3 linked regions of the Yarrowia lipolytica genome follow. The protein of the gene in region 1 interacts with the protein of each later gene in a biochemical or structural test. Links are inferred from orthologs where the notes say so. Each region holds a gene or a part of one and is shown in the gene's direction. Other genes may lie near its edges. The genes, in order: YALI1_B14418g, YALI1_C00913g and YALI1_F02697g.

Evidence for each region.
Region 2: of the proteins of YALI1_B14418g (region 1) and YALI1_C00913g, one has a biochemical effect on the other in vitro, tested with the Schizosaccharomyces pombe proteins (2 studies listed by BioGRID). The link is inferred for Yarrowia lipolytica from reciprocal best matches to the Schizosaccharomyces pombe genes cdc2 and cdc18.
Region 3: of the proteins of YALI1_B14418g (region 1) and YALI1_F02697g, one has a biochemical effect on the other in vitro, tested with the Schizosaccharomyces pombe proteins (3 studies listed by BioGRID). The link is inferred for Yarrowia lipolytica from reciprocal best matches to the Schizosaccharomyces pombe genes cdc2 and wee1.

Annotation. Positions count from the first base shown.
Region 1 is NC_090771.1:1,440,412-1,443,823, reverse strand, and holds YALI1_B14418g (uncharacterized protein), read left to right. Parts: upstream 1-1,565; coding exon 1,566-1,611; intron 1,612-2,006; coding exon 2,007-2,911; downstream 2,912-3,412. Other genes in the region: YALI1_B14441g (uncharacterized protein), read left to right, coding at 1-607.
Region 2 is NC_090772.1:89,081-93,063, reverse strand, and holds YALI1_C00913g (uncharacterized protein), read left to right. Parts: upstream 1-1,667; coding exon 1,668-3,482; downstream 3,483-3,983. UniProt on the Schizosaccharomyces pombe protein: Part of the checkpoint control that prevents mitosis from occurring until S phase is completed. Plays a key role in coupling S phase to start and mitosis. Acts at the initiation of DNA replication and plays a major role in controlling the onset of S-phase.
Region 3 is NC_090775.1:266,373-271,474, reverse strand, and holds YALI1_F02697g (uncharacterized protein), read left to right. Parts: upstream 1-1,747; coding exon 1,748-4,585; downstream 4,586-5,102. Other genes in the region: YALI1_F02701g (uncharacterized protein), read left to right, coding at 1,246-1,261, 1,315-1,715. UniProt on the Schizosaccharomyces pombe protein: Protein kinase that acts both on serines and on tyrosines. It acts as a dosage-dependent negative regulator of entry into mitosis (G2 to M transition). Phosphorylates and inhibits cdc2.

The DNA of each region.
Region 1 (3,412 bases):
GTCTCTCAAGGACCGGATCAAGTCCCTGCAATCGCGATCCACCAGAGACTCTACCAAAAAGACACAGGCCGAGAACCTCAAGCGGCAATTCATGAACTCCATCCAGCGGTACCAGACCGTCGAGGCCACGTTCCGACAGCGATACCGAGAGCGGGCTGAGCGGCAATACCGAATTGTGCGCCCCGAGGCCACTGACGCCGAGGTGCGTTCCGCCATTGACGACGCCCAGGGCGAGCAGATTTTCTCCCAAGCATTGATGACGTCCAACCGACGAGGACAGGCTCAGACGGCCCTTTCCGAGGTTCAGAACCGACACAAGGAGATCCAGAAGATCGAGCAGACCATGTCGGAGCTGGCCCAGCTGTTCCACGACATGGAGTTGCTTGTGGCCGAGCAGGAGGCCCCTGTGCAGCACATTGACAACCAGACCCAGGGCGTGCAGACAGATATCGAGCAGGGTCTCGGGCACACCAACAAGGCCGTCATCAAGGCCCGAGCCTACCGAAAGAAGAAGTGGTGGTGTCTGCTCATTTGTTTCATCATTGTGGCTCTCGCCGTTGGTCTGGGTGTCGGTATCCCTGTAGCCAACGCTGCCAACAAGAACTAGTCTGGGTGTTATGTAATATTTAATCAGTAATAGGTGGATATCTATGGAGTGTACAGTATAATTAGATGAGTAATATACCAGTACATCCTTGTAGTAAGGTACGTACCGTAGAACGCACGAGTAGTAGAGTGGACTCGCTGTTGATAATAATCAGCACAAAACTTGTAGGGAGTCTTCGAGAACATCAGTATCACAGCTTTTTCACGTCCTCAGTCTACTAGGTCGCGCTTCCTGTTCCATGGACCTTTGATCTGGAAGTCAAAAAAACGCGAAGATCATCTTGATCATCTTCTTTGAATACGAAGATCAAGGGGTAAGTAAGTAGGCTGATCTCAGAAGACAGGCGCAGTGCTTTTTCTTTGGCCACACTACAAGTAGGAGTCTGCGTTTAGGTCTCTTTACCGTATTGTACATGTGCCTGCCTGTTGGCGGCCTTGTCTCGCGGTTGACATCTCAGACCCACGCTATAGCATGCATGAAACAGCGCAGTAAACGACCAAACAATAGAAAACAGGTGAAGAGGGACGCGTGGTCATATGATGATAACATCATGTGATTTTTGCAGTCACATGACACCATACGCAGGCGTAATTGTATCGCGTGATACACTTATTTACTCGGCTGTAACAGTATAAGTATAAGTAGTATGACTTGTACACTCGCACGCTTGGTTTCTTTTATCCTAAGGACAGCCGTGTCATAATACTGTAATTAGCAGCCGCATGTGGCAGCTCACGTTTTGAGCGTTAGCGTGGTTCAGTTGGGAGGGAGACACCAAGCTTTTTACATGACGCGTTGTTGCTGGGTTCCCTATTGGGAGGAGACCGTGTCCGATTGAGTGTTTGGGTTTGGGTTGGGAGGAGTGGTTGCCCCCGCAACGGGCAAGGGATGGGTGCATCAAAACCAAAACGTTTGCAACATGGCAAATTGTTAAGTGACGCAGCATTATCAGATACCCATGGTCGACTTAAATCATTACCAGAAGCTGGAGAAAGTGGGAGAGGGTGAGTATTTGGGTATCGGGAGCGGTTGCATGCTTGTTTGGGATCGCAGAGATGTACAACTGGAGCGGTTTGTTTACGGCCACTGCTGTCAGTATGATGTGTGGTTGGAGTGTTTGTTGACTTGTGAAGAGGCTGTGGAGGAACTTGGGTGTGATGATGAAGACCTTAGTTGTGTGGCACATGGTGTTGAGCGTTGATATGACTCTGGGACAGTACGGTGTATTCGTGTAGGTCTACATCATCCCGTTACCTCGAGCATCGCAAAAGCGCCTGTGAGCTCTACAAGACCCACACATGACGAGATACAAGGAAGAACTTCATGACACGTTACGGCGCGTGTCTACACGAGCAGTTCTGAAAAATCCACAGCACCGCATCTATTCGTACTAACTCAGGAACATACGGAGTGGTATACAAGGCACGAGATACTCTCAACAATAACCGTTTGGTGGCCTTGAAGAAGATCCGACTGGAAGCCGAGGACGAGGGAGTGCCTTCCACAGCCATTCGAGAAATCTCACTGCTCAAGGAAATGCGAAACGACAACATTGTGTCGCTCTACAACATTGTCCACTCCGACTCACACAAGCTCTACCTGGTGTTTGAGTTCCTCGACCTGGATCTCAAAAAGTACATGGAGAGCATTTCGCCCGGCGTAGGTCTCGGCGCCGACATGGTCAAGAAGTTCATGAACCAGCTCATTTTGGGAACCCGATACTGCCACGCACACAGAATCCTGCATCGGGATCTCAAGCCCCAGAACCTGCTCATCGACCGGGAGGGTAACCTCAAGCTGGCCGACTTTGGTCTGGCCCGGGCCTTTGGTGTGCCTCTCAGAACCTATACCCACGAGGTTGTCACACTTTGGTACCGAGCTCCTGAGATTCTTCTGGGAGGTCGACAATACTCCACTGGTGTGGACATGTGGTCCATTGGCTGTATCTTTGCCGAGATGGTGACCCGAAAGCCCCTGTTCCCCGGAGACTCGGAGATTGACGAGATCTTCAAGATTTTCAGACTGCTGGGCACCCCCACCGAGGAGACCTGGCCCGGCGTGACAGCTCTTCCCGACTACAAGCCCACATTCCCCCAGTGGAGCCGCAAAGACATTGGTCGAACAGTGACTCCATTGGATCACGAGGGTCTCGATCTGCTGGAGCATCTGCTGGCATACGATCCTGCATGCCGAATCTCGGCCAAGCGGGCTGCCGACCACGCCTACTTTGACGTGGGAACCAACATGAAGAGTGGATATAACGCTGCTGCAGGTCCGGGGCTCATGATGTCCACTAGAGCATAATTGGAGACGGAGGAGAAAGGTCTATGAACGAGATTGATATTACACTTGAGAAGGATTCTATAATGATTACATGGCATATTAGTGGTTGCGTGGAGTGTAGGCATGGCATGTACTGCAAATTGTATCGTCGATTGTAGTGGTGCCGATACGATTACTGGCCAAGCTTGTACGGTAGCCATTCTCCATGGTGTCTCGACAGCATGAGTACAACTAGTGCATGTGTCAGACGCGTGTCTTTACTTGGATACTTTTGTATAGAAGCTACAATGGGACAGTACAGTATCGTACCTTGAGACTGAGCTGACAGGCTTGTATTCTATTATGGATACAGCCGTGCGAGTATGAGTGAGTTGTATATACAGTAAGAAGCATAGCCGTGCGTAAGAGCATTTGTTTTACAGTTAAATTGTATGAGGGACATCCCTTCTTAGGATCATGATGAGGTGGGCAATTATAGATTGAGAAGGGCATGTTTGCAGCTCTACTAGCTACTTGTAAAGA
Region 2 (3,983 bases), on another chromosome or scaffold:
GTTTGATTATGAGGCCTAGAATGTCTTTTCTGAGGCAATGGCCGAGTACGGTATGTTGACTGCTCTCTGGATATGGCTTGTCTTGTTTGAATACTGTTTTTTGCTGAGCACACAAGTGACGGTCAGCACTGACATGTGTCAGTCCTCAATCGTCCACAGATTCCTTCGTTTAGAGAGAGTGAAGCAGTCTTTTCAGAAATGGTCACTTTGGTCTGTGTTTGTTACTTTTGTGGGCCACAGGACTGAAAAGGTGCCCGACAAGACAGGCCGAATCAGCCCCGAGGTTACTGAACAAAATAGAGAACAATCTTGAAGTGTTAGAATGAGAAAATAATACTGTTTTGCACCATGAAATGTAAATATCATACTACCATTGGACTCGGAATGTTCTCCCAAATCTATTGATGCACTTTTTCCCACCGCTTGTCATTTTTTTAAAAAATGACCGAATTGTTGTTCAGTATACATTGTGCAAACATCGCAGGGCAACAAGTATCGTATTTCAGCACATCACTTGGACAATCCATGAGAAAATACAACTACATTATATACAGTAAGTTTGTTTGAAGATTGCCATTATTATATACTGTCTAAAATGAACCCCGATATTCTATAATATTTATCCTCTACATCTGCAACTATACAAGTGGAGGAGGCTGGCCATACAATAACAGCAGACCAACGAAGCCCACAACAGGTACAACTCTCAGAGCTAGTAGAAACAATGACCATGGAAATCGACACTCGATTTGTATCACGTGATTTGCACAGCACTGCTCTTTATCCACATCCTTTCTCCACGCCCTCCATCAGCCCAGATCTGCGTCAATCATGTGCAGCCATGTTTGGTGGTGTGCTTCAAGAAGCGTTTGATATGGTCTTACCATAGATATAAATCGTTCGAGAGAGTATAAAAGAACGCTGAAACGTCTTATTTGGTCTTATATTCAGTCCCTGTTTAGTATGGTCATTATTTTGTCCTATTATTTTCGTCCGTTTTTGCCTATCCATTTCACCTCCCCCAATATTCCACTTTCTCTCCCTTGTCCCAACACGCGTCGCCCTCCTGCGTGGGTCACGTCTGCACGGTCTGGTAGGTGACCTCGCGTGTTTTGCTTTGACGCATGTGCTGTATGAAGAGGATAGCGGCTCGTAGTTGAAGCGCAGAGTGGATAACGAGTAATATGCGACATCGGATGGAGGGGTCACGTGATTGTACAAGTGTACTGTCATATATATCGGGTTCCATCTCTTCTCTTGTTGATGCTCTTGTCTTCCCTTTTCTCTCTCTCTCTCTCCCTCTCTCTCTCTCTCTCACCCACATTCCCTTCACCTCCAACTTTATTCTGGTGAGAATTGAGGCTGGTGCATTGCATTAATTGGATTGACGGTAGGGGCGCAAAGATGAGGGCGCCTATTGAAGGATATTGGGGACGGTTTTCCGGTGCAACGCGTCGAAGCCATGGTTTATCACGTGACCATTCCAATGGAACGCGCAATGGCCCGATTTGGTTTCGTTTTCCTGGCGTTTTTGCTCATTCCGACGCGTCAACGCATCTGCACACAATTAGCGTTTTTCATTAAGCCAAAAACAGACATGTAATTGATATAAGTGGGAGGGCGCACGTAACATCTTTCGACACATCCTTTTCAATACACACAAAACGATGGCAGTTGCAACACCGAAACGACCACAGAAGCGAGTGCGACGGGAGCCCATCCGGGTGCCTCTCAAGGAGCTCGAGGTGAACAAGGGAGAAGATATGGGGGGTCAGCAGGTTGGAGAGGTGGACAGAGGGGTGTCCACGGAACCCTTGTGTTTGAAGCGACGCAAGGTGGAGTGTTTTGAGGACGACTCAGTTCGTGTGTTGTCTCCTCCGAGAGAGTCATGTGATCCATTCACCGATTCCTCGGCCACTTCAGGGTCGTCTTTCGCATCACCACCTCCGCTTCATCCCCACTTGGTCGAGTTGAACAAAATCAAGAGCATGTTTTCTCGAGGAAGCAAGGGACACATCCTGGCTGCTGACCAGGAAATGGTTGGTCGACAAGTTGAGGAAGCAACGTTGCTGCGTTACTTTGAAGGCAGACTGCAGGCAAAGTACTCTCAACCTGGTGCTGCACTGTACGTGAGTGGACCTCCAGGTACAGGCAAGACGGCCCTCCTTCAGAGAGTCATGGACAAGGTATTTCGGGGCAAGGAGGGAATCAAGGTTGCTAGTATCAACTGCATGCTGGCTCCGAGCGCGCGAGCCATCATGAACCTCATTTACAAACAGTTGAGTGGGGTTGAGGAGAATGAGGCCTTGTCCGCAGACATTTCGTTTGACAAAAGTGTGGCGAAACTCGAGGAGCTATTCATGTGCCAGACTTCTAAAGAGTTTGCTGAGCGAGGCACGTCAATCGTGGTGCTCGACGAGATCGACCATATCATGACTAGAGATCAGGACATTCTGTTTCGCATTTTCGAATGGGCCTTCTGCAAGGGTTCGCGGTTGATTCTCGTTGGTATTGCTAATGCTCTGGATTTGACTGATAGATTTCTGCCACGACTCAAGGCGAATAATTTCTACCCTCAGCTGTTGAAATTCAAGCCCTATGACGCGGTTCAGATTGCCTCCATCATCAAGTCTCGTATTGTGAAGGCATCAGACGAGTTCTCCAGGGAGCACAGTTCCCTGAAAAAAGAGGTTGTCGTTAAGAAGGAAGAAGACTTGATTCTGTCCCCCCTGAACACACCCAAAAAGACTCAAATTGACCCTACTACCCTCACTCTAACCCCTCCTCACACTCCTACAGACAAGACACCTGCTGTGGCCCCAACCACCATGGCCATCCACCCTGCTGCGATCCAATTGTGTGCCAGAAAAGCATCGGCAAACACTGGAGACCTGAGAAAGGCCTTTGACATTTGTCGGAAGGCTCTGGAAATCTCTGAACAAGAGTTCATCCAGAAACTGGCTCAAAACGACCCATCTACAGTCTCTAAACCAGTCGTCTCAATTGCAACCATGGCAAGAGTATGCAGCCAGGTGTTTGGAGGAAATAACTCACAGCGAATCAAGATGCTCAATCTCCAGCAAAAGGCCGTCCTGTGCACAGTGGCGTCTGCCGAAAAGCAGCTCTCCATTGAAGCCATAACCTCTGGAGTCGATGTGCCTCTCACTATCCAGAGACTCTTTGATCACTACACCAGCAGCTGCAAGAAACACCGCATGCTGTCCCCGTTGCCATTCAACGAGTTTCTCGATGTTTGTAGCGCACTGGAGTCGTACTCGGTTATCAACATCACCGGTATCTGTGGCAAGAAGAACCTGGGTATCAATGGTAAGGGAAGAGCTTCCAAGGGAGGAACAGGAGCTTCAAAGGGAGAAGTGTACGGCATTCGAGATGACTATGTGCAGCGAAAGGTCACTCTCAACGTCCAGAGAATGGACATTGCATCAGCCATTGAAGTGGAGTGGTTGCAAAAGTATTTGTAGATTAATTTATTGCATTAACGAACAACTTGCTGTAGAGTGAGAGAAACCAGATGATGTGGTTTTTGTAGTTCCACTGGGGTATCAGACAGCAGTTTCTATGATAGCACAGTGAGCCGTGTGCCACCTTTATACGGATACATACTGTACTATTGGCTCCCGTACTTGTCAATCCGTGTCAAATTCGAGTTAGCTTTCTTTTATTCCAGGAAGAAGAAAAAATATTCTAATAATCCGTTACAGCTATATACTGACCTACTGTACTTGCAATAAGCCGGGTTATTGGCGTCCAATAAACCATACACAGATAAACATTTAGGTGCTCGTTTCGGTGTGCGCGCATTTCGATGAGTTCGAGGCTGCAAATATCTTTGTCACTTCATCTTGCTCTTGTCATGGCCGCTTGGTTGAATCAATACAATACTGGTAATACTGTACAGCAGTACAATCAATTATATCAAATCAAATCAAATTATATCCAAACTTGAAGTTGGTTCGAAGAAT
Region 3 (5,102 bases), on another chromosome or scaffold:
TGACTCGCTCTTTCGTATTTCTGTGGGGACACGTTTCCGTCTTTCTTTCACGCAGTGGGACAAGAGGGTTCACGGGCAGATATCCGCTCTCGTGTCTTAGATAGTGAGCACTTCATATGATAACAGAAGCGAGTCAGGGGGGTCTGGTAAACCCGAACTGTACGGGAAATTACGTTACCCGACCCATACAAGTCCGGCAAGTACGGCTGGTATCTATTGTATTTCGGTTCATACAAGAGGGGCTGTGTGAGACGGGTTGGAAATACTGTAGTCACATGGTTGGCTTGGAATGTGATAAACTGATACAAGTGTGGTCTCGAACTGGTTATATAGACCTGTCGGGTGACTTTCTGTGTGTTTCTAAATCGTCGGATAGATGTCACTCGTCAGATATGCTCTTATATGGGCACAACCCATTCACACACCTGCCCGCTCGCCATACATACGATGTATGTACGATGATCGTCGTCATGTTTGGGTACTGTTTGGAGTGTTACACCTGAAACAAGCGATGGTGAAACATGCAAGATTGACCATATCAAGTCCATCCTTGTTGCTGGGCTGCCGGTACCACGTACGACACGTGTTTATTACGAGACGTATTTTGATTAGAAGCTGACACAAGTACATACAAGGATCGTACTGATAATTTTTGCGTCTACGATTCGTATCTTGATGCATACTATTGTATCGTATTGTACTCATAGCGCAGTTTTGGAACGCGTCTGATTGAAAAAAGTACAATGGGTGCCAAGACCCCTGAATGACAATACGTAATAATAAGGCCAGTGTTCAAATACAGCGATGAAATTGGCGGTACAAATAGGACGAGTTTGACATGTGTTGACGGTGGAGAACGAGCCGTAGGGAGAACATCTGACGAGTAAATTCCTCTTTCTTTTTCCTTCATTCCGTCGATGTCTCTACAAGTGCGGTTCTTCCTTCCACTTGGACCCGTTCACAGATTCACCTCTTCCTCAACTTACTGTACCTACGGAACTCTCCCAACTCTACACGCGTTTACCACCGTGCACTGGGCAATGGTGGCCCGGGCAGAAACAAGCCCGCCAGAATGGAACCATAATTATCTCCCATAATATTCACCTCCGGGTTGCTTCTGGGCTGTCCGTCCGGCTTCACTGTCTTACACCCATCTTCAGAACCGACGAGCCCCCACACCTTCTGTTTTGATGTGTGTGTGTGTGCTCGCTCGGATAGGCTTCTAGGTTTCGCGCTCTGAGGGTGATGGACGCATGCGCCTGTTTGTTTGCCCCCATCAGACCGCTACCCTGGGCCATGCATAGACTTTGGGAGTGACGCACCGCTCCGCACATCATCTCTGGAGACAGACCCGTCCCAATCTCCCCCAACCCAACACCACCATTGTTCGCGTCTCCAAACCCCAGAGGCACCCCCCAAGTGCTCACCTACCGTTCGCGCCACCCACACGACACGTCACACGCAAAGCAGCAGGACCGACCGAGCAACAGGTCTGCGTTTGTGACACGACTGGACCTCCAGAAAAGTTTTGCATTTCTTTGCACACGCTCCTTTTTCTACATTCCTCACCCACAATCGCATCAACTAATTTTTTTTGGGGGAAAAACGCCACCAGACGCGATACACAAGGACGAGACAGACGACACGACAAGAAACAGACGACACAACCTGACCGGAATTACAACTACCGCCAAACTACAACACTCACACCGTGATCGACGCGTCAACACGACATACCCATACTCACATGTACATGAGCTCGGCCACCCCCTCGGCCTCCCCGTCGCCTCGCCGGCGCAAACACCGCCCCGACTCGGTGGCACGCTCCTCCATACCGTCGCTGTCCAAGGTGAAGCTCAAAAAGAGTAAGCCCAACACGCCACAGCTGTCACCGTCGCTGTCGCTTGACGACTCAGCGTCAGACGCCCTTATCAACCTCTCCATCCACCGCAACAACACGGTGGCAAATCTCGACGACCTACCGCCAGACCTCTCGCCGTGCCCCAGTCCCAGCAAGCAGCGCGCCTCGGAGCCCCCCACGGTGTACTCGTCAACCATGCAGCCCCTAAGACGCTCCAAGGGCCTCTACAACCTCGAAGAGGCGTCCAACCTGTCGCTCGAAGATATCAACATGGACAGCAGCCCCAGCAGGAGCCACCGACCGCGCCACTCGATGATACTCCATGATTCTGACCCCAATTCGCCGGTCAAGGCGCCTCCATTCAAAAAGGCCGCCATCCAGCAAGAGAATGTGCCTCCTGGAGGAGGAGGAGAACGACGATTGTCAGATAACCCGCCCACGATCCATCTCATGTCGTCGTCGGTCGAATCATCGCCACCAACACCAACGCATCACCCCCACCACTCGCACCCGCACCCTCATCATCCTCAACCCCATTTGCATCCTCTCGTCAAAACAAAGATAGCTGACGTGGAACACAAGGAGTACGGCACTCCAGACTCGTTCCGGTTCGTCAAACCGCTGCAGACTGCGTTCATGAGCACGGGCTTGCTTTCGAAACGAACGCGCAACCTGCCCAACTCATCTTCTGGCCACTCTCTCGTGCCTCCAGATACGCCCTGCAAGAAACCCAGCGGCAGTTCGAGCTTGCAGGACGTGCACGGACTCAGAGGAGACGGAAACACACCCCGGCCCTTCACCAGCAGTGTCTCCCACGAGGGTGTCAGCATGCTCGGAAGCAGTCACAGGTCTGCGTCCTCCGGTAGAGCTCACAGAGTGCCCCTCACAATCAACACCACCGGCCACCAGAATATCCCCTCAGGCCCTCCAAGCGGGCTGCGTGATTCAGCATCACGCTTTGCATTCGACCTGCGTTCGGCAGTCTCCTCGTTCATGGACGACGTTCCCTCCACGCCTACGAAGCCCCTGGAGGAGAGTGAGTCGTTTCCATCCGTCCAGCGAACTCTCACTACTAACAACCATGATGACAGCAACGGCAGCAGCAGCAATAACAGCAGCACGAATCTGGGACCCTACAGACGAGCGTCTTACATTGGTTCTTTGACATCCTTGTCTTCTCTGGCCAAGGCAAGTCACCAGCGGTCAGATGGGTCGCAGATCACCATTACCCCTGGGACTATCACTCGTCAGGCCTCGTCCATCATGGAACCAGAGACCCCTCTTGGAAATGGAGACAATCCCTTTAACTCGCCCAACTTCTCCAGTGATCCTACCTTTGCAGATCCCCGGACACCGGCCAAACGGTCTTCCCAGGACCAATCTGCTGAGAACATGATTGCTGGCGAGTCGTGGCTTAGTCAAAAGTTTGACAGCGTCTCTCTGATTGGATCTGGCGAGTTTTCATCCGTTTACACGGTCACCGAGCGCGTTAAGATGCCTGCGGGTTCCTCGGTCATCCTCACGCCGCCCAACCGTTACGCTGTGAAGAAGATGAAGTACCCCTTTGCCGGCCCCAAGGCTCGTGCTCGACGAATGGAGGAGGTCGAAGTTCTTCGTAAGCTGACCGAGTCGAAACGTGACGAAGACGGGCGCGATTTCATTGTCCAGCTTGTCGACTCGTGGGAGTACCATGGATTCCTGTTCATCATGACTGAGTACTGCGAAAACGGCAGTCTGGATGTTTTTCTGGCTGAAAACGGCCGAATCGCGCGTCTGGACGACTGGCGAGTGTGGAAGATTCTCGTGGAACTTGCCCTCGGTATCCGGTACATCCACAACGAGGGCTTTATGCATCTGGACATCAAGCCAGCCAACGTGTTCATCACTTTTGAGGGCACTCTCAAGATTGGCGATTTTGGAATGGCAACAACATGGCCAGCAGCTCGGGGAATCGAGCGGGAGGGAGACCGGGAGTACATCGCTCCCGAGGTGCTGAGTCGACAGGAGTACGACAAGCCTGCGGATATCTTTTCGTTTGGTCTGATTATTCTGGAGATTGCTGCCAACGTGGTTTTGCCCGATAACGGCATCCACTGGCAGAAGCTACGGTCTGGCGACTTGACCGATGCTGGTCGGCTCTCTTCTGGCGACCTGGCTGGATTTGATCATCAGTTTGGAGAGCCTACTTCTTCCCAGGGCCAAGAACGAGACGCGATTGAGTGCGGGAGCAAGTCGTACGAGGAGGATGGGGGAGTGCTGAGTCCATCGTGCATGCCTCCGTTTGACCACCACGGTATCCACTCGTCTTCTCTCCGAAGCTGCACCACGGCTAACACCACCTCTTCTAGCGGTGTAAGCACCGGTTCTTCCAGGTCTGGCACTGCTGGAAACGGTGGAGCCAGCACGGGCAACACTTCCAGCTCGACAAACATGCATCCCCCAGTGATTAGGCGAAGCTCTGCGGCCCCCGACTGGGCTCCTTTGTTCCTCACCCAGGATCTCGGTATTCTGGATTCATTGGTGTCTTGGATGCTGACTCCTGATCCTCGAGGCCGTCCCACAGCCGACGACATTCTTGCCACCAGTGAGGCTGCGTGGGTCGAGCACCATCGCAAGGCTGGCGCTGTAGTTTACGAGGGCGATTTTGGGCCTCCTCCGGGCAACTCAGATGACGATATGTGCCATATTTCTCCAGATGAAGATAACTGGCGGATGGAGTTGTGATTGAAAGGGTATGTATGATAGATGAGGGATTGAAGGATATTGGGAATATATTTATTGCATATTTAATGATCATCGACATTGAGTGTCATGGGTGCGGGATGTAGGAACGTCTGAAAGGGGCTGTACATAATGTGCAGTTGTACACAGTGCTGTAGACATGTTCAGATATACGTACATAATCGCAGCACTCACATTAATGGTTACCGTGACTTTGGTGGTCTGATTTAAGATCTGCTACTAGTGTGGATGGTGAGATGCTAGTCTATTTGGGTAATGTAATTGAACAGTCAGATATGATATGATAACTACAAGTAGCCATATGTCAGACATGTACCTCGTAGTAGCTGTACAATAGTGACATGGTCTTTGGTCATGTTGTGTATGCTTCATGGGTATGGCCAGTTTGGTCGCAAAATACGACATGATAATAAAGAGCAAAGTTTAGATGTTAGTTTGAGCAATCCATGGAGTGGGGGCAGGGGGATTGAGTGTGGATCTAGCTTGTCAGGGCAGTCCT